4 linked regions of the Drosophila melanogaster genome follow. The protein of the gene in region 1 interacts with the protein of each later gene in a pairwise test. Each region holds a gene or a part of one and is shown on either strand. Other genes may lie near its edges.

Region 1 (3,402 bases):
TTGTTTTTGTTTCGTGACATAACCGCAATTTACTAAAACTTAGAAACTTAACTTAAATTATTTCATGAAAAGCATAGCAAACTAATATTAACTATGTCCCACAAGTACACGGAGCTGATTAAGGTCGGCACGCAGTATGCTCGCCGGATGAACTACCTCTCAAATCGCATTTTCGGCGAAGTGGCTCGCACCACAAACGAGAAGTCCATGAAGGTATGTTCTCGAAATAAATTTATTAATTAAAATGTAAACATGTTTTATCCGACCTTCCCCAGGTGGTTCGCATGTTCTCGGAGGAACCAATTCACAAACGGGACTACGTGATCAACTGGTATCCGCGGCACGTGGAGACGCACTTGCTGATGAAGAACCTTCGCGACTACGGACTGTTCCGCGATGAGCACCAGGACTTCAAGGAGGAGATGAAGCGTCTGCGCAAGCTGCGCGGCAAGGCGCCTCCCAAGAAGGGCGAGGGCAAGCGGGCCTCAAAGAAGTAGTAAAATAAATATTCTAACATCCACTTTTATTGAACCAAAGCTAGTCTTTTTAGTTGCGAGTCAGCAACTTGGCGCTGCCGGCGAACACCACCTCGTCGTTCTGCCTTATATCGTACTCCACGGTGGAAATCTTGCGAGATTGTAGCAGACGTACGGTCACCACGGTGTCGGTCTCAATACGACAGGGTTTCAGAAACTTGAAATTCTGCTCTAGAACCACGGTGCCCGGACCAGGGAGCTGGGTACCCATTATACCAGCCACCACCGCGTTGAGCAGGGCTCCATGGACGCGGCGCTCCTCGGTGGGCGTTTCCAGACTATGGATGTAGTTGTGGTCGCCGGTGAACTGGGCAAACTGCTCCAAATCGCTTTGGGAAAACCGCTTAACCACTTGCACCTGCTTCACTGCTTTGCTGCTCAGCTGTCGGAACGTTTGGGGAAGCCTTTTGCAGCTGGACAACCTCTGTGCGTGTTGCGAAATCTTGCAGCAGCAACTGACAAAGTTTAACGATGCGTTCATCGTGGGCCTTGACCCGCCACTCTTGCACCGTCCTTAGCACCGCAGGGCTCAGAAGTAAATCCCGTTCAGTCCGTTCACCAAATTCCAGTAATTGGTAAAAGAGCGCCAGGCTGTGAAGTACTATTTCCGGGTGATCAGTGCGCACAAAGAGGCCGGTTAGCAGTTTTAGCTGCTCTCTGATAAATTTGGCAGCCGTTTTGTCTGCAATAAGAATATGATGAACAAGGTTGGTTTGAAAATCAAATGTTTGCTTACCCAGGCAAAGGTTACACAATGCCGCAATTCCGTGCACTTTTAATAGCTGATCCTGTGTCTCCAGCGATGCCACAAATACATCCAAGGCGTCCGCCTCCAGGAGATGCGACCAGTTGATGGGATCGTATGCAAAATTGGCCAAATTAGCAGTCACCTGCTGCTGGGCCTCTAATAATGAAAATCAAAAATGAATTCACACCGGCAAAATGACGTGAATAAAAACCTTACCGATGTTGGTTGTCGTATAATACTCATCGACCAGGTGACCAATGTACTCCCGGCGGTCAATGCCCTGGGCAGGCGTCCTCCTCTTCAATGTCCTGTGGCTGGAGAACATAAAAAGGATGCGAAGGCAAAGCTGCGATTTGAAATCAGTCCCAAAATGCCATTCACAACGCAAACTATTCATGTTTTACCATTCACATATAAACGTGCTGAAATACATTGGGGGCAAAATAATAGCTTTCGGATTCAAAGCCACATTTATAAAAGTTATTTGTTTCATCTCATTTTTTTTTATAATGAGCAATTGGGTTGTTGTACAAAATCACACATGAATTTATTTGAAAACATAATAATTTTATTTCGAAATAATATATGACATAAATATTTTTTAGAAAACGTTAAACATTTTAATCAATTCCTTTTCCAATAAGTACATTTATACAAGAAGCGAAAAATACAATATTTCAAAGATTAATTTATTAAACCAAGTTTAGTTCTTTAAAGGTAAACCACCAGCAAAACGTCCTCATTACGCAGGCTCCTCCTCCTGACCTGAAGCCTTAACTCTCCTCCTTGCTGGGACTGTCTTTCCCCAAGAACTCTGTGTCATTGGAATTGCTGAAGTGGCTCCTGGCAGCTGCAACTGACTTTGGTGGGATGTTGAACAGTGGGTGGGTAGGCAGTAGCTCGTTAATGGTGTCGCCCAGGACCTGGGGGCTGCTGGCGCACTCCGAGTGCTGGGCAATGGAAACGCCACTAAGAGTATAGCATGTGTGGTAGAGATCCTGCGGTCTGAAAATATGGGTTTTACATTAAAAAACATCACAATGTTGGCATTAATCCCTTACTTTCCGGGTTTGTCGATAAGCCCGCCGCTCTGCTTTTGGCAGCAGAGCAGGATGTACTCCTGCAGGGCCTCCACATCGAAAAGGGTGTGCTCCATTTGCTTATCGACGCCGGATAGCGTTGCCTGCGTAATGGGAATGGTGGCTCCCACCCAGAAGGAGTAGCAGCCATCAACCAGTTTGTTGGTCCTCCCTTGGAAGCCGCCTTCGTAGGTCATCTGACGGCGCAGTGTCCATTTGAGCAAAGCCTGCCTGTCGCACTTATCAGCCTCGTTGAGCAGCGCCAGGCCCGCGATTCCGCAGAAGGTGTAGCCACCATGGGCCTCCAGACCAGGGGCTCCTCCAAATCCTCCCTCGTATGTCTGACACTGGGCTATCCAGTCGCCAGTGCCGGCAAATAGCTCCTTGATCACTGGCTCGGGAAGATTTAGCAGCTTTGCGCAGGAGATTGCGCAGTAGGCGCCACGCACATCCGTCTCACCATCCACGTGGAGCCGGAAGGAGCCGTCTGAGTCACGTACACTGAACAGGAACTGGACCAAAGTCGGTCGGTCTATGGCACGGTACGCCTGCTCGCTTCCGATGATGCACAGACTGTTCACTGCTGCATAGGTGGGCGCCAGATGGGCATACTGTCCAGGTCCTCCTCCAAAACCCCCAGTCGGCGAACGGCAGCTATGAAAGAGTGATTGGAGCATTAAGGATGCCTATTAGAGAAATATCCTTCAAAGACGCACTTGCTTAGAAACTGGACCACGTGGTTCAATGTCTGGTCGTCGAAGTTAAAGCTAAGTAGCTGGGCCGCCTGCAGGATCCAGTAAACGCACCACGCGCGACTGCTGTCCAGGCACTCGTAATTGGACGGCAGCCGCCTCAGCATCGCGTCCAGGTAGTACTGGTGCTCCAGCCGGAAGATCTGGGTGAGGCGCGGGTCGGTGAACATTATCTGCTCGAAGCGGTCGAAGCATTTCTCCACCGAACTCTCCGTCTTTTGCTGCAAGTATTCATCGGCTCTTATCTTTTCCTGGGCGACATTCGGGGATTACTCACTTGCTCGCGG
Region 2 (7,633 bases), on another chromosome or scaffold:
GTCCGCACTCCCTGAATGGACATGCCCAGGCCGCTCCAGATGCGATAGGCTCGTGACATGCGGATAATCAAGGCGCCCACCATGTCCACATTGGGATCATCGATGGCAAAGTCCTTCTGGCTGCACTGCAGATGCGTTCCCGGTACGCTCAGCGACGTGATCAACATGGTGACGCAGCGCAGCAGGAAAACCGTGCCCGCCAGAGCAAAGAATCGCCTCAGTAGGACCAATCTATACTTGTGGAAGGTTAGCACGACCACCCAAATGGTGAACAATAGTGAGCCGGTTATTTCGCACATATTAAAGGCCCACGGAATATGCGGCACGTTGTCCAGGAAGATGTCCGGCAGCGGCGGATAGCGCTTCATATCCGGAACCCGCTCGTGCACAATAACCATTGTTAACGATGTTATCCAGGTGACAACGAACGAGTAGCCTGTTGATGGTACAAAAAATATGATGTTACCATGCGGATTTAGAGTGTGACTAATTTGGCTCAGCAGGCGGAAAAAAAATAGTTATGGAATCGGTCATTTGCAACCATAATCTATAAACTCTCTATATATAATTTCTAAAAACGTTTGTATTTCAAATTGATCTCAAGATGTCGAATTTATGAAGTTGAATCACAATGATGACTAAACTTGAGATATCAGAGCAAATAAACGTATGTACTTTATTCTGATAGTCATCTTTGTTTGTATAATAATTTAGTATATAATGCGGAAACCTTTTAACAAAGAAAAGGAAACCATTTTATTTTCGTATTATTATTGGTAGTGTGTTTGACCCCGTTCCGAAAGTGATAAAAGTGTAATATTTACTACCAAAAGAATTATCTTTCAGCAGCTTTATCTGCCAAAATGTAGACTTATCTATTGAAATGGCCATGACAATAGAAAAACAAGCATAGTCTGTAATGATAAATGCATTATCGAAATAAAAAGCCACTGATAGCAAATTAGCCTAGATAAGCCCATTGTTTCGTTTGAACTTTGATCACTTAAATATTATAACTCAAGTGAAACATTATTTTACAGAACAATCCTTTTTTGAATAATCAGCTAAAACTTGTCAGATAGATAAATAAATACATAACATAATACATAAAATTCAACACTCGATTGGCTACTGTTTTTAGGTTTTCCTTTGCCGTTCAATTTTTTGAAAATTTACCCGTTAAGTAAAACCAGCCGTTTGAAGGGTATCATAAACAAATGGGAATTTGAAATTTAATGCACGCAAAGTTACACAAAAATAACAAAACCAGTTAGCCAGAATGAGAGGCATATGAGTACACAAATAAATGCGAGCGGCGTCTACACAAATAACCTCCGAAGTGCTCAAAATAAATAATAGTAACGCGTCGCCAGTGACCAGTAAACATTATTAAACTTAGAGTGTGACGTATCTCTAGAAGTCATAGCTAATGAACCCATGAACTCGAAGGTAAATTCGTTTACTTTCGTAGAATAGGTAGTAGTACAGAAACTATAAATGGGATTTAATGACGTATGGTCTGATTAAACATTTATAACACGCGTGACATTGAAACCATTATTATTGGCCTATCGCTGAGGTAGTGATTGGATTGAGTGATATACTCTAGAATTAGATTTACTAATTAAAGCAATGTTTCTCACATGGAAAGCGTTTATTTCTGGTTACAGAATTTTAGAATTATTAATGCTGGCAGACATGACAAGAACTAAATGTTTAATGTTTAAAAAGATCAAAGTGTGATATGTATGATATTTTTTCGTAGCTTGTTGGGATTATTAAGGCAAATGATAGCAAAAGTCTGATAAAATGGAGCAGAGGTTTATATAATATATTATTTCCTTTGAAAGTTAACTGCCATATGCCAGAGCTTCTTATCTAGATATGCATATGTATATAGTGACGTATTTGGGTGGTCCAAACCAGCCACTTCCATTATTTCAAAGAAATCAGTAATGCACTCTAGTAATTTTCCATAACGTATCCCAGCTGCGCAGCATTCGTTTATCTTTGGCAGCGCAGCCGTTCTTGTAAACATCCTAAAGCCTGACCTAAGCAGATTTGACTGCCCTCTTTCAACGCTACCTAATCTTAAGAACCCAAGAGCGAGGCTCTCCCGAAATACAAATATTGTTCAAATACTGAGGCTTCTCCTCAATCCAATTTGCATTTGATTTTTAGTCTTAAGCTGAGATCCAAAGAATAAAGTCGTGAAACTATTTCTCCTAAAAACTATTTTTTATTTCTTGGCGTTGTCCTTAGTCAACTGACGGGACATTAGTTCGACTCATAAATAAAACAACAATTTTACTGGCGCAGTCGGTAGGATACAAAAGTATCCGAAAAAAAGAACCTTCGAGTGGAAAATAAGTTAAATTTTATAGTCCAGTGCTCGAAACATCTCCCAAAATAAATTCGTGAAAACTCTTCAACTTGGATTATAATTCCAATTCGGTTATCCAATAATAAGTGGAAGTGAAATACGAAACAAAAATATTAAGTCCAAAGGCAACTAAGTTTTAAAACCAACATATAAAAATAAAAAATTAAAACAATATAGAATTTTAATAATACAACACAAAAATTTACAAAACAAAAAAAAACAAACAAGTGAAACTAGAAAGCTTAAAAATAATAATAACATTGAATCCGAAACAAAACAAAAAAATAAAACACAAAAGTTAAAAATTTTACAATAAAAATGTCACAACCAATTATTGCGCTGAGCGACATAAACCTTGCCGAAGCCCGTCGGCAGCTTAAAGACATTATGCCATTCAAGGGTGATCCAGAAACCCTTCACACCTTTATCAGCAGAGTGGATTACGTAATTTCGCTCTACCAAACAAATGATGTCCGACAACAGAGGATTCTACTGGGAGCCATCGAAAGGAACTTGGACGGACAAATTACACGATCTTTGGGACTTCCGAACATCGAAGATTGGCCTACCCTTAAAGCAAGACTCATCGCGGAATTTAAAATTCAAACACCAAACTACAAACTTCTGGAGAACTTCAGGGAGACACCATACAGAGGAAGCCTAAGAGCATTCTGCGAAGAAGCGGAGAGACGACGTCAATTACTAATTTCGAAACTACACCTGGAAGGCACCTGGTACCCGATAACACTATTGTTTATACTGATCACAGCTGTTCATGGACAACAAATTCAAATTAATAATATTGACACCAACCACGGATATCTCCTTTTTTCTGATAAGCCAGTACAGATACCATCCTCCTTTGAACATCACTCCTTAAAAATCAATTTAACTGAAATAGACATCGTGGTTGACTATTTTGAGCAAAGACTACGAACCGATTACCATGCACCCCAGATCAATTTTTTATACAATAAAATAAAAAGAGAACTAGCCGGAATAACCCTGAAACATAGAAACAAACGGGGTCTTATTAACATTGTGGGTTCAGGTTTTAAATACCTATTTGGAACACTAGATGAAAATGATCGAGTCGAAATACAGAAAAAACTTGAAATCAACGTCCATAACTCAGTAAAATTACATGAACTCAACGACGCCATACGATTGATAAATGACGGAATGCAAAAAAATACAGAATTATGAAAATAACCACACCATCATTGACAGTCTTTTGTTCGAACTAATGCAGTTTACGGAATACATAGAAGATTTGGAAATGGCTATGCAGCTTTCCAGACTTGGACTGTTTAACCCCAAATTACTAAACTACGACAAACTTGAAAATGTGAACAGCCAAAACATTTTGAACATTAAAACATCCACTTGGATTAACTACAATGATAACCAAGTATTAATCATATCCCACATACCCATTTACCTTTCACTAATAAGCACAATTAAAATAATTCCTTACCCAGACTCCAACGGCTATCAGCTAGATTACACAGACACACAATCATATTTTGAAAAAGAAAATAAAGTTTATAATACCGAAAATAAAGAAGTAAAAAATGAATGTGTCACCAATATTATTAAACACTTAAATCCAATTTGTAATTTTAAGCCAGTACACACGAACGAAATAATAAAATACATAGAACCAAACACAATTGTAACCTGGAACTTAACCCAAACAATTCTTAACCAAAATTGCCAAAATTCAATTAATAAAATAAAAATAGAAGGAAACAAAATGATAAGAGTAACGCAATGCAAAATAGAAATCAATAATATAATTTTAAGTGAAAATCTGTTAGAACCAGAAATAGATTTGACACCACTATACACACCACTTAATATAACAAAAATAAAAATTGTAAAACACAACGACATTGTTGAGATGATTTCAGAGAACAATATTACACTTTACATACAAATGATCATTGTAATAATCGCACTAATTTTGTTGTACTCATATTTAAGATATGTATCATTTAAACCATTTATGATGCTGTATGCAAAACTTAAAATAAGAAAAAATCAAAATCAAAACACACCACAACAAACAGAAATAGAAGAAACTCCATTTCCCACACTATATCCATCAATCCCAGCCCAAGTATAGGCTTCTCTTTAAGGGAAGGGGAGTGACGTATTTGGGTGGTCCAAACCAGCCACTTCCATTATTTCAAAGAAATCAGTAATGCACTCTAGTAATTTTCCATAACGTATCCCAGCTGCGCAGCATTCGTTTATCTTTGGCAGCGCAGCCGTTCTTGTAAACATCCTAAAGCCTGACCTAAGCAGATTTGACTGCCCTCTTTCAACGCTACCTAATCTTAAGAACCCAAGAGCGAGGCTCTCCCGAAATACAAATATTGTTCAAATACTGAGGCTTCTCCTCAATCCAATTTGCATTTGATTTTTAGTCTTAAGCTGAGATCCAAAGAATAAAGTCGTGAAACTATTTCTCCTAAAAACTATTTTTTATTTCTTGGCGTTGTCCTTAGTCAACTGACGGGACATTAGTTCGACTCATAAATAAAACAACAATTTTACTATATATATACTACATAATAGTCATACCCATGGGGAAACCTCTTACTTCTCGGCTATCGCAAGGAAAGTATATGCCTGAACTGCGCTATATAGAGAAAAGCGAAAAGCTCTCGAGAATTGGCACACGACCGATAAGCCCGCCGAAGCAATCAATGGACAATTGACCTTCGTAATTGAAGGGGGGCAGGTTGTGGACCACTCACCTAAGCTCATGGCGGTCTTGAAGTATTCCGGCGGAACATAGCGTCCGCCCATGCGCAAATAGGTATCGCAATCGGACACATAGCTGGGGCATTCGGCCTGCGGACAGGGGCACGTGGATGAGGACGGTGGACCGCAGCCGGTGCTGGCTAGTGGCATGTATACCGAGTTCCCGTTCCCATGGCACTCGATGCCCAGTATTACGGATTCCGCAGAGCTGTTCTTCACCAGTAGCTGCAGCTTGAGCACGGCTATCCAGAATTTCTTGAGCTCGCCGAAGGTGAGTTTGTAGCCCAGTTTGTAGCGCATATCACGTACATCCTCCTCGGTGAGGGAGAGCAGCACCTCGCCGTCGATGGCCTCCTGGCGCAGGCAGTCGAGCAGTGTTCTCGAAAAGTGCTCCATGCAGGTGGCCCAACTGGTCACATTCTCGATGGACCACTGGGCCACGAGTAGCGGATCCACGGGCTCTGGATCTGGCGATCCATTGGTCAGGTGCTTATCTGTCGCCGCGTCGAGGTAGTGCGTCCGGGTCTCCTGATCCATTGTGACCAATCCACCGCCCTCGGAACGTGGCTGAGTCACCGGATCGCCAATTTCACCGTCGCACATCGCGCTTTCTTTTTTTTCCGTTCGATGTTCTTCTGGCTGTTTCTTATTCGTTCCAATTTTGCGATTTATCCAAAATCCAAAACAATTGTGCGGCCGAACTCAGATGGAGTGCAACATTTTTTCACTGCTGGCTGCTGTTGCTGCTGCGGCGCATAATTAACACCTCACTTATTGCGCGTCCAGCGTTTGTTGATGTAAAAGCACATTTAATTTTTGGTTTGGTTACTTGTTAAATTCAGACTACTCAGTTGTTCCGTTCAGAGAGCAAGCGAGAGAGCAGAGCGGAGTCAGCAACTATGCTGGGGGCGGGAGCGAGATAACAAGGCCGAACAGCTGACTTCGGCCATCGATAGTTTTTGGACAACGCCAACGCTATCGATGAACAGTTACTTCGGTCTTAACTGCGTGTTCACACCGAAAAATTTTCGAGAATTTCGCTCTCGTAAAAGTCAAAAGGTTTAAAACTCTTATCGTTAGCTTAATATTATTTTAAATAAAACAATTTGAGGTGTCTGGCGAGTAGAAATTATTTAAATATTAACGCTTGACTGATATAAATCTCGTTCGATATATACGAAACCATGGTGAAAATGTGGAAGAGTGGAAACGGCCTCCAAAGCGAAGATATCGAAGCCACAGCTTCGCTTCGTTAGCATTTTGCGAGCGGCAAAGTGATTTAATTGTCCTCGTGCGAATGTCTAGACAGAAGTAATCCTCGAATAATATGAAGAAAGCCAAGCCGCTGCTGCACGACCATCTAATAACGATCCGAGTAAAGAAGGTGTGTCCAAATCCGTTGTTTATATCCACAAACTAGCCAGCTGCCCGATAGCCGGTAAATTCCCATGAAAGCAGCACAAAAAAAAAAAAAAAAACACACAAAAACCCTTTGCAGGGCGGCGATTTTGGGCAAGGGAAAACAAGGTTAGGTCGCAGGCTACCCGCATCGTGTGCTAATTGCGTTCTACTTTCGATTTCAGTATCTGGAGGAGCACATCGGGGAAACCTACCTGGATGTGAAACAGATGACCAGGGAGTTGATGCAAAAGTATCCGGAATATTCACGACGCAAATTCGGACCATTCAGACAGCTGGTGCACCAAGGTAAACATGGAACATTGTGGTTATTTGTTTTTAACAAATATTTCTATTACAGCATTCTCGATCATTTCGGAAAGCTATAACTTGGACAAGGTAAGCAGTTCCGAGGAAGATTGTGTTAGCGAGGACTCCGAGCCACCACCCACGAATAGTGTGATGAACAATATGATGAACAGCCTGTATAGTCAACCAAGAAAGCCGCTGGCGCCCAAGCCAATCAGCGAGCCCATCGATATATCCAGTGGAGACGAGAACGAAGATGACTCCAATACAAAAACCACCAACGGAGATGGGGTAGCTGCTGCTGCTGCTCCTCCTCCTCCTACTCCAGCAGTGCAGGGCAGTGCTTTGAAACGCCTGATGGAGGAAGTGCCGGAGATCGCAGTGGCTGCAAAGAAAGGTGGGTTATCAATCCATTAGTCTATGACTTGGTTAAATGACATTCTTCATTAGTAGCTAAACCGAATACTATTCACGTTAGCAGTTCGGAGGCCATTCAAAAGCGTGAGTTTTTTTTTAAATACTTTTGTAAAATCAATGAAACCTAAACTTTTTGTTTTAGTGCACCAAGTTGTGGGCAACAGAGCGAAAAATCTTTCAGAGGACGCCGTTCCGCGTTCCAAAGATCACCGTAATGTGCCTGGCTTATATCAGCAGTTGCACCAAAACCAAAGTCGCGATCGCCTTCGGAAGTTCAAAAGGGATCTGGAGGTGCAGCACCCAACGGAAAGTTTCCGGGACATTGGTGGCATGGATAGCACTCTTAAGGAGTTG
Region 3 (3,326 bases), 5.0 Mb from region 1:
TTGTCGCGCACCAAGCATCGTTCCCACAATGCGCGGAACAAGCGCTTCGATCCGATGATGCTCTGATCATCGGGGTACATGAAATTCGCTGGCTTGATGTAGCTAACTTCGGGAAGAGAGGATCGATGCTTGAAGCCCAGCAGCATCATTTGCGGCTTGTGCAGATTGCGCACCCTGTTCAACTGATCCATGCTGATGCGCAGATCCCTTTCGCCCACGTTGCAAGTGTACCAACCGCCCGTCACCTTAATCTGATACTCGTGCTCGATATCCTGCGAGCCATCGTCCTTTTGTTTTTGCACCGTAATCACTCGCTTAGTACGCACCACACTGTTGTCCCTGCGCAGGATTTGCACTTTGCGCGGATAGGCGCGTCGCTGAAAGTAATTGTAGTACTGTACGGACATGGATAGGTTGGGGCCCAGATAAAAACTGAAGTGGCCCAGGCATCGGCGAAGGAAATCCTGCTTCAACTTACGATCGGACAGGATTTCGCGCAGCATCTGGGCATCTGGCACCTGGAAGGCGTCCAGTTCGATAGCTGCAAAAAAGGTCCTCATTAAACATCATCTAGTGTACGGATTGCTATATATTTATTTTATTATTCTTGTAAGCCAATCCAAAACCACGAACCAATTGAGCTTCACTTGGATGCGGGTGAATGATTGCTTATATTTGATCTACGAAGTCTTAAAACCTTTCAGGCGAAAATTGAACGCCAAACAGGGGAACAGACTTCGCACATTAAAACCCATAAGAAATGAATAGCAGACTTAAAGGACTTACCTCTTGACAACGTGATGAACTCCTTGTAAAACGGCTCGTAGTCAAAGTCATCGACCATGGGAATGACATGAAACTCGAACTCCTTGCCCTCCAGATCGCTGGCCTTTTGCAGGGCAGCCTGGAAGTGATTGCTGTTCGATGGATGAGGTTCCCTGACGTCCGTGACATAGGCGATCTTGGCGTTGTTTAGCTTCTTGCCGCACTTTTCCAGCATCTCGATGCAGAGCCGGATCATAAGGTCAAACCTGCCGCGACCATCGGGTTCCGCCAGGCCATACACATCGGCGAACTGCGTCTCCACCCCGCCCATGAATTCCAGATAGTGCTCCACAATGGGTTTGGTTAGTTGGCGAAGGGGCAAGAACACTGCGCAGTTATCCGGCATTACGATGTTGTCCAATGCACTGGCTTCCAGCGGCGGCGGACTGTGCTTGGTGTTGGCGAAGATGAGTCCGATGAGGTCCTTGTCGTTAACCAGAAGTCCGGATATAAAGGCCGTCCGGATGATGTTCAGTGCCTCCAACAGGCGCTCCACGCCGGCTGTCTGAAGATTGGCGTCTACCACGAACAGAATGGCCTCGCGCCCATGGTAGTCCCGCTTCATGGACACATCCTCCTCGTCCTCGGACCCAGACAGCAGGTCCACATCGTTCTCCGGATTCCAGGTGCTCATTATGCGGCTTCTTTAGATTGCTAAAAATCTGACTTTCCGCTAATTTCACAAGAAGGCGGGCGCGCTTATCGTCGCTGTTGTTATCGATTGAGCTAGGGATGAGAGTCACGAAGAGAATTGATATATATTTAAATTTATTTAGACATTATTTAATGTTTTTAACATATTATATTATCCCAACGTTTATTTATATAATTATTTTAATATAAGTTAGTTTTACATTTTTATACGAAGTTGACCACCACCTTTCGATGACAGCCATTCAATCGATTGTTCCATCGCAATTTTGACTCATCGACTTTTACAGCGGCAGGCTGACCTCCTGAAAATTAAATTGCATTTGTAGACGGCACGGCTGAAGGCAACAGGATGACAGGAATAATGGACTCGGTGGAAATGCCCAAATTACCGGAAAACCAGAAGACCTTCGCCGGCATCCCGGAGGCAGTGTTCCTGGTGAGTGGTCCTAACCTACAAGCGTGCACCTGCAGCTGGACACTGCAGGCTAATTCGTGGTTCTTGGGCCCTTGCAGGAGGAGATCGACACCTTCATGTCGCAGCCGGAGAACGAAAATTGCGAAAAGGTGCTGCAGCGACTGGACGAGCAGCACGGCAAGTATCGATTCATGGCCTGCAATCTGGAGGCGCGGCGGCGCAAGTTGAAGTCTCAAATTCCGGACCTGGAGCGCTCCCTGGAAATGGTCAATGTGCTTCGCAAGGAGGACGAGGAGCGCGAGACGCAATTCCTGCTCAGCGACCAGGTGTTCATCAAGACACTGGTGCCGCCCACGAAAACAGTATACCTCTGGCTGGGGGCCAGCGTGATGCTGGAGTATCCGCTAGACGAGGCGGAGGCTCTGCTGAACCAGAACATCACATCGGCCGTGGGCAACCTAAAGTCCGTGGAGCACGATCAGGATTTTCTGAGGTCAGTTCGAGTGCTGTTATTCAAGTTACTTGTTTTATTGTATTATAAATGTATATTTTAGGGATCAAATCACAACTACGGAGGTGAACATGGCGCGGGTCTACAACTGGGGCGTGAAAAAGCGGCAGGCCGCTACCAAGACCACCGCCACTACCCCATCCTAAGGAGACCCACCCAAATCCCATCCCAAGATCAACATCGGTAGCAGCCACTCGCATCTTATTTATTTCGACAGTACACCGCAAGGGCTCGGCAGGCGATTCCACCTGGCTTATTCTTGTTCTCCACTGATAGCAATAAAACCGCCACACAAACGCATCAAGCTGACTCCAAACGAGATGCCTATTCCGGAGGAATGTAATATTTTAATTTGGCTACGGGCATTTAACTGCATGTAAACCGAATAAACGGCGAACGCAATTCATTGAGAGTAAAGCCGAATTCACAAATCATAGGATTAGGGTTCAGTTTATTTCAAATCTTTAACATCCGGAACTTACACGCCTCATTTGACCTCCCACTTCATGGATTGGTGCAGGTAGTCGCCATCGGGACTGACGTAATCCTTAATGGGGGGCGTGGCAACGGGTCCTTTGACGGCGACGGGCAGCAGCTGGGGATCGATATCGATGGCCGCCTGGTAGAGCTCCTCGGACTCGCGCCGAAGTTCCGCCAGCGCCTTGTTTTGCGCCTGGACCAGCCGGTCGATGATCTGAAAGTCTGCTACGCGCTCGTCGTGCTTGTAGTGCGCCCACTGCTTCTTGAGGAGAGCACGTTCCTCCAACTGGTCGATGGTCAGTGGAGCTAGCTTCCGCTGCCGTTTGCTGAACGATAGGATAGCATTACATCTCAGCATATGAGGGAAACCCGTATGAGAACCTACTCCTTTTCGTCGATGAGCTCCAGTGGAACCTCCAGTTCATCCACGGGCTTCAGCTG
Region 4 (7,573 bases), on another chromosome or scaffold:
AAGTGAAGGGAAGTGAATCATATATATAACAAAATATAACAGGTATTCAAGGAGACATCCGTAATAACTAAGAGTGATAAATACGATGACGAATGCCACTATCGAAACGATTCGGTCGGTAGTTGGAATGCGAGAGTGTTGAAAGATGGCTTCGGTCAGAAGTGGAAAACGAACTCATCGGAGGAGGTGTCAACCGGAACGGATCCGGTGATATTCGCATGGTAGCCAGTCACCTCCTCCTTGTCAGTCTGCTGATCCGTTAATCATTGATAGCTCTGGGTGATCTGTTGGATCCAGGGCAGGTAGGCGGAGACCTTAACGTAGACGCCGGGAACGTTCACCTGACCACATCCAATGCCCCAGGACACCACTCCGACCACGTGCATGGCTCCATTCCGGTCGCACACCAATGGGCCACCGCCATCACCCTTGCAGGCATCCTTGCCCTCCTCTCCGCCGGCGCACACAAATCCGGGATTCAGTTTGTAGCTATAGCCCAGACGCGTGTTCCTCAGCTGGGACTCGCACTGTTGGTGCGATAGGATTGGCACATCCACCTCCTTCAGAATGTTCTGGTACTTTCCGTGCTCGCCGAAGGCATCCTTGCCCCATCCAGTTGTCCAGCAACGAGCTCCAGTGAAATCGGAATACTTGTCGGGCAGACAGGCGGGACTAATGTGCGGATTCTTGGTGAAGTCAACGGGTTGATCCAGTTTCAGAACGGCCAGATCATTGTCCAGAGTGCCGGCATAGTACTCGGGATGGATGTGCACGGAAACCACATCGCGTTCAATGTAGGGGAAGAACTCCACATCGTGGTTGACATCCCATTCGCCCAGACGCACACGAAGATCGAAGCCATTTTGACTGGATAGAAAGAAGCAATTGGTTAATGCTCTGGTGAAATATACTTTTATGACTCTAGAACTTACGATTTAATGCAATGGGCAGCGGAAATGATGTGCTGGGCATCGATGAGCGTGCCACCGCAGGCGTAGATCGACTCCTTGGGATCCTTCTTCAGAATGGCCACATGCCAGGGATACTCGCCGAACTCACTGTCTCCATCAACGTAGACGGGATTCTTGATGCGACCGGTGATTCCAGCGGCGTTCCTCACTCCACAACGACCAAATTGCTGGGGAGGAGCCTGGGGACGCAGTGGACGACGGCAGCAGACTTCGTTGATGCGGCAGGTCTTTTCCACGGGTCGGTTTCCATAATAGGCACGCTGGAAAATATCAAGGAAGGCAATCGCAATTAGATAAATGTTGGAGGAATGGGTACAATCTTATCTGGATTTGAAATGTACTTTGAATGCCATATAACTTTTCCTAATTACCATCAATGATTTAATCAATAAACAATTAAGAATATTTATAAAATGTGGGGTTCTTTGACTCTTAAAAAGTTTTACAAAATAGTTACATAATTTGGGACTGAACTTCTCATGAAATTTTTCAATTTTGTAGTTATGGACTTTAGTACTCTATTGACGCTTTCGAATGAACTTTAATGCTTTAGCCACACATGGTTACCTGCTCCTTAGGAGCTGCTCCCGCCCACACACCATCCTCAACGCTCCTGCGCCTGCGATCCCGTGGGAAAGTGATCCGATCACTGCCAGCTGCCTCACCAGGAGCCGGAGTGGGAATGTTGTAGAGGGGTCCCAGGTTCAACTGTTTGCCACGACGACCGGAATTCGATGGCCTGTCTGTATCACCACCGCTCACATTGGCACTTCGCTCCACATGCTGTGAGTACTCGCCATAGCCCCCGAAATCGGGACTGGATCCGGGATATATAGAGTTGAAGGAGCTCTCGTAGGGAGACGATTCGTGGTGGTGATGATACTGAACAGAAGGCCCACTGTGATACTCAAATATGGGAGTACTTGGGACCATTTCCACACTGAAATGGAGACCCGGTCCAGTTCCTCCATAGAAATGCGGATACGAGTGGTGGTCATGGTGATCGTGGTGGTCATGGTGATCGTAATCGTGGTGCTCATAGCCACTATAATGATCGTGATGGTGGTAATGTGTACTATACGCTTCGGTGGGCTTCCGCTTAAAGAAGTCTCCCACTTTCTGAATGAGATTCGCATTGGGAGTGACATGCAGATTGACCAGTGGCTTCACCACCTTCTCGCCATATTCTGTTTTGGCCACCTGCACCGATACCAGAGGATTCACATTCACCAGACCCAGATTCAGACCATTTGGACCCACCGAACCGAAGTACGGGTTTTGAGCGGGCACATGATCACCCAGAATATTCGAGGGATAACCTCCATACCCGCCAGTGGGATAGGGCAAACCAAAGCTGACACCGTAGGTGGGCAGCACTTTGCGTTGGATCAGCTCGATGGCCTGGAGAGCGGGCAATGCCAATGGAGATCCTCCGAGCGGGGACTGTCTCTATTTGTTGGTAAGGGGAAAACATAAGAACGCTAGAGGTGGAGTTCCATTTCTGATTGCCGGTTGCAGGTTGCATGTTTCGGGTTGCAGGCGTGCGATCACAAAGGTCGTGCTTGGTTAGCTGGTTTAGTTCTGGGATTAGTGACTGGTCTAATCGGAACCGATTTGCACTCTGGTATTTTAGTTGAGCTTGGAGCGTTGAACGATGGGTGCAGTTGTCAGATTGGTTTGATTTGTTGATTGACTGATTGATTTGTTGTTTGATTTGAATGTGTGTGTGTGTGGGAGGGAGGAGCTTGGCTAAAACTCGATTAGTGGTCCATGTGAACCATGTGTGATTTGGCATTAGTTGGGCACTACTTAAACTAATAGACTTCTATGGACTTACCCCTTGAGCATCGAGTGAGAGATCGCTTGCTTCGTCATCCTTTTGATCAGCCTGGCGGCGGGTGCGCTTCTTGTCATCCTTGTCCGCCTTCTCCTCGTCCTTCTTAGCCTCAGCAGTAGTGGTAGCATTGCTGGATAGAGCATCGTCACTCAGAGCCTCAATGTCCTTGCCCAGGTTGCGGGGATCAATAGGCAGAATGAGATCCTCCTTGCGTCCAATGCGATCGGCAGCGGGACACTGGGAGATGGGCACACACTGGCAGTCGACGATCTGCTGGCGCGAGGTGTCATATCCACTCTGGTACTGACCCTGACCCTGGTAACCACCAGAGATGCCATTGTACTGATTGGATGCTCCACCTTGCAGCTCCTTCTTGTAGTAGTCGGGATTCTGGCTGTGATAACTGGAGCTGGGCGATCCACTGAATCCTCCAGAGGAACTGCTGCCAAAGTTTCCTAGTCCTGAGTTGGGCTTGTAGAGATCTCCAGAGTTTGGTTTGTACAGATCTCCAGTGGGTTTCTGGGAGATTCCAAAACCGTTCTGCGAAAGAAGTCCACCCTGAGAAGCACCATTAAAGCCAGCATTGAAGGCATTGGACTGGGAGTAACTGGATCCGGAAGAAGTCTGAATGGAGGGAGTGTATGTGGCAGATGATTGGGCCAGGGCACTGAAGTCGGTGTTAATGGTCTGGCCAGCTCCGATGGGAATTGGCACACTGGGAACCTTTGCTCCCTCGCCACCTTCAACATGGTGATAATGATGATGCACATGTTGCTGCAGACCATCGAGCGGTGCTCCAACCACCACTTTGGTGCTGGAGGATGTGGCCGAGGCGGAAGAAGCTGAAGACTGCTGCGAGTAGAAACCATTGGGAGCAGAGCTTGCACCCTGGATGCCACCCTCGGGGTTCTCGTAGTTGTATGGAGGAACTCCATTCGAAGCACCAGTAAAAACGGGTCCAGCTCCCAGAGAAGGACCTCCGGTGTAGATGGGTCCTGGTGGCTTGCTGTCATAGATCAGGGCTCCGGGTGGTGGCTTCGTGTAGGTGATACCGTCGGATGAACCGTCAATGGCGGATGGTGGAGGATGCTCCAGGTAGCCACCGGGTCCAGATGGCCTGTAAGGTCCAGACATTGGCTTGTATGGTCCCTCGTATCCCACCTTCCTTGGCGGTCCAAAGGAGTTCACGGAGCTGGGCGGAGGTCCAAAGGAGTTCAGGGAGCTTGGCGGAGGTCCGTAAGATCCAGGAGGTCCACCCATTGGTGGACGACCACTGAAGTAGCTTGGTGGGGGCATGGGCTTAGCCGGACCATAGGGACCACCGCTGAAACCAGATGGTGGTGGGGGACCCTGGGCATAGATGGTCGAGTAGAAGGGACGCTTCTCCTCCACATCGCAGCTCATCAGTCCCAATCCACACAGCTTATCCCGGATAAGATTGCGGGCCTGCATATCGTTTCCCTGCTGCAGAGCCTGATCGATATTGCCATCAGCATAGACGGCATCGTATTCCCCCAGATTACGACCCTCACGGCGGGAGTTGATCAGCTGCTCGATGACCTCGTCAATCTGGGTGGTGCTGTTGCTCTGGATGGACTCGTGGACGAGGTAACGTCCCTGAATGTCAGCTTGTTCGGCGGGCTTGGTATCGACAGATCGGCGACTGGGCATGGCATCCTCCATGGGCGCCCACTCATTTCCCCAGTTGGATTCCTCGGCCAAGGAGGCGGTGGCCAGCAGTACAACTGCCAAAAGGCTAGTTCTTATTCTCATTGTGAAGCCTGTGAAATGATTAGATAGAAAAACTTTAGGATACCAATTCTCTAATATCTACGGATATATTAATCAAGTGATTGATTGACCATCTTTGTCGCCTTTTCTTTTGAGTGGAAAATAAATTAAGAGGTTTAGTCATGATTGGTTATGACATAAGTGGCGAGCTTGACACCATTACCCCAAGTCATTGTGCCAGTTTACATTTCTCCACCTAGCCACCGATCCCTCATACCATCTTTGGCTTAACCAATCCGTAACAAAACCGAATCCGAAGCCCAAACCGGTTAGCATCACGAAATCTTCACCGTGACTCAGACTCTCGTATAAGACTTTTACTTTCATTGGAGGTCGCAGACCGTAGCACTTAATTGCCTGATTTTGTACGTTACTTTTGCTCGAAATGCGAGTCGGGATGGCGAGGGGATCGCTGGCTTCAGGTCCCCGTAATTTATGAGGTAATTTTCCTACAGATTTAGCAAGCCTACGACTGCAATCCCACCGAAGACCATCGCTCAACTTGATCTCTCGCCCTGACAGCCGCTTTCCGCTTCGTGTCTCTTTTATTTGGTAAAATTCACTTTTCTTTTCAGCCTTTATTTTTATGGTCGTTTGCATTGCAGTTATGTCACCGGCTCACAGCGAGGGCGGATTTTGTAAAAGATCGGCTACACTTAACAAAAAAATCAATTATGAATGTAATATTGGTTTAAGGAGTAACTAATAGGATAGCCAGAATTATAATTTTGCCACTCGGAATTATATGCTTAAGTAAGAAGATATATTTATATTTTAAATGATTATGTAAACAGATCTGATTCATCTAGAGCGGCATTACACACTACAATTTCGAGTTATATTTTATTTTTTATGATTTTTTTCAAGTATATATTTTCCAGTTATGTAAATGTATCTTTGGATTTCTTTAGGCCTGCTTTTTCGGCCGGAAGTTGTGCGCAGCGTTGCATTGCAAATTGCCGGCAACTTTTTCGCTTGGATTTTCTTTGGCGAGAAGTGCTCGTAAGCGATGCTAACTGCCGTTTGGTTGGGTTTGGGAAATTTTTTTAGGTTTTTCCTTTGTGTTCGCAGTGAAAGTTTCGCTTGTTCGATTGGCTTAATGACGCGGAGGCTCTTGGCCAAGAGTTTTTATTAAGTGTATGTATGTAGGCATATTTGCAACAACCATAATTTCATGTGCTGCAGACTCATAATTCACATCTAATAGCCATTCATTTAAATTAGTTCGCTTTCGGTTCACTTGAGTTCACTTTGCTAATTTCGCTCACTTCACTCACCTTTTTTGTGTCAAGTTTATTAATCCAATTGGTTAGTTATCACTGTTGTCCGGATAATCCTTATGCAATTTACTGAGTCTCTTATCCTTTCACTTCATTCACTTTCTGCACCGATTGTGCTCTTCGATGCTCTGCAGATCGTTCACTGATTTCGCTTTCGTTGGCCGCGCACATTTTATACAAAAGCTGTGCATGCGCGCCGTCGACGTCAAGCTCCAACGTTTCGCTGTCTCTGTCTGCATTGATTCCGTCTTCTTCTAGCTTTCATACCGCCTTAGTTTGCGAATCGGTAGCCCAAAACAAAAGATACAAAAGCGGCGACGGCGACAATGTTTGGCAACCCCTCTTTTTCGCTGTTAGTGTTGATTTTTCGTCTGGGTTTTTTCCTCAAATCCCCAATTCTGCCCAACTACTGGAGGTCAGTAAACGAGGCGGAAATAGGCGGAAATATCACTATGATAGCTTCATTATCAGTAAGAAACCCAGAAACTATCATCACATTCAACACATCTCTTAAACATAACTGACTGTCTTAAACATCCAAATGGGGCTTTGTTTTTTTTTTTATGATTTTACCAAATTTTAAATAACCAAATTTAGCTTCCCGGAAAGGCGTTGCTTGAGAAACCGGGATTATGCAATTCTGCAATTATGAATTGGGTCAGAGAGTAGCAACCGCTGAATAATAAAAACATCGTGAAAAAGGGTAAAATTGGGCATTGCCTCAAACCGGATCTTTTGGCATACATTCATCTTTCCCCATTTTTTTTTTACTTCATACATCTGCCTCTCTTTTTGGTTGCAGTTCAGTTCAAATCGCCTGGTTTTTAACCCATGGTCAATGCAAACGTCATCGCTCGGTCACTCGTTTCATTTTCGTTTATTTTAACGTTTTTTTTATTTAACCTAGCTCACTGTGAGTAAAAAGCGCTTGGCGGAATTACCCGAAGTTCATAAAAATTAGAGACATTCCCCCCAAACTTATTCACGATGATCACGTTCGCGTGCCACTACCTTAAATCCCAATCATTATCAGGTTTGCGTTTGTGTTGTGTATGGTCAGTGCTGCCCGGCCGGAGTGAGTCTCATTGTGATTCAGTGGCTCCAGTGGCTTCCACTTGTGTTACTGACCTTGGTTCGATGTGCTGCAGTCGTTCATCTAGCCCCCACCTAAGTGGCGTTTTATGTTAAGCATTCCAAGAAAGTTGATAATGACCAACAGAGCTTCGAAAATTATGCTAATCACATTGATTTTTCTCGGGAGTTGTTATTGTCGCCACTCTGGGCTGTTTGCCAAACACCTTTTGGCTATTTGCTCGCGATTAATTCACGAAGTTTTTATCAATCAGCGTAGCGTGTGGCGTAGTTTTTGACCATCGGGTTTTTTATGACTCATACTATCGAGCACTTTGGGCTTTTCGAAGGAGGTGCGACGAACCTTATTTTGCATCGTTTTTAATTCCGTTTGGCTTACCTTTTTTTGGGGGTACATCAATAAGATGGAAATCGATTTTAATACATTGTTAATATAATATCTATAAAGGGTTTTCCGAATGTAAATATCAAACTTATTTAAATGTACGTTTCAGTAACTAATACATCTATTTTCGTTTGTTATACTCTGGTCTGAAAACTAGCATACATGATTAATAACTCATTAGGTCTTAAAAGCTTCATATCTTATTTAAATATAAATA

Evidence for each region.
Region 2: the proteins of CG14881 (region 1) and SMSr interact in a two-hybrid assay, tested with the Drosophila melanogaster proteins (one large-scale study listed by BioGRID).
Region 3: the proteins of CG14881 (region 1) and mgr interact in a two-hybrid assay, tested with the Drosophila melanogaster proteins (one large-scale study listed by BioGRID).
Region 4: the proteins of CG14881 (region 1) and CG4998 interact in a two-hybrid assay, tested with the Drosophila melanogaster proteins (one large-scale study listed by BioGRID).

The regions. Positions count from the first base shown.
Region 1 is NT_033777.3:16,433,172-16,436,573, reverse strand, and holds CG14881 (uncharacterized protein), read right to left. Parts: upstream 1,676-3,402; 5' UTR 1,610-1,675; coding exon 1,501-1,609; intron 1,441-1,500; coding exon 1,273-1,440; intron 1,219-1,272; coding exon 1,007-1,218; coding exon of another isoform or gene 919-1,006; coding exon 547-918; 3' UTR 508-546; downstream 1-507. Other genes in the region: mRpS33 (mitochondrial ribosomal protein S33), read left to right, coding at 94-213, 276-497; Fntb (farnesyl transferase beta subunit), read right to left, coding at 2,058-2,289, 2,346-3,017, 3,080-3,336, 3,393-3,402.
Region 2 is NT_037436.4:7,375,473-7,383,105, forward strand, and holds the start of SMSr (sphingomyelin synthase related), read right to left. Parts: upstream 6,003-7,633; 5' UTR 5,759-6,002; coding exon 5,149-5,758; intron 437-5,148; coding exon 1-436. Other genes in the region: smid (smallminded), read left to right, coding at 6,483-6,539, 6,739-6,862, 6,915-7,259, 7,313-7,363, 7,422-7,633.
Region 3 is NT_033777.3:11,408,271-11,411,596, reverse strand, and holds mgr (merry-go-round), read left to right. Parts: upstream 1-1,721; 5' UTR 1,722-1,828; coding exon 1,829-1,915; intron 1,916-1,992; coding exon 1,993-2,387; intron 2,388-2,448; coding exon 2,449-2,551; 3' UTR 2,552-2,805; downstream 2,806-3,326. Other genes in the region: Irbp (inverted repeat-binding protein), read right to left, coding at 1-541, 787-1,459; mRpL40 (mitochondrial ribosomal protein L40), read right to left, coding at 2,893-3,211, 3,271-3,326. UniProt on the Drosophila melanogaster protein: Binds specifically to cytosolic chaperonin (c-CPN) and transfers target proteins to it. Binds to nascent polypeptide chain and promotes folding in an environment in which there are many competing pathways for nonnative proteins.
Region 4 is NT_037436.4:16,337,452-16,345,024, reverse strand, and holds the start of CG4998 (uncharacterized protein), read right to left. Parts: upstream 6,023-7,573; 5' UTR 5,877-6,022; intron 4,590-5,876; 5' UTR 4,582-4,589; coding exon 2,809-4,581; intron 2,421-2,808; coding exon 1,539-2,420; intron 1,232-1,538; coding exon 933-1,231; intron 868-932; coding exon 264-867; 3' UTR 1-263.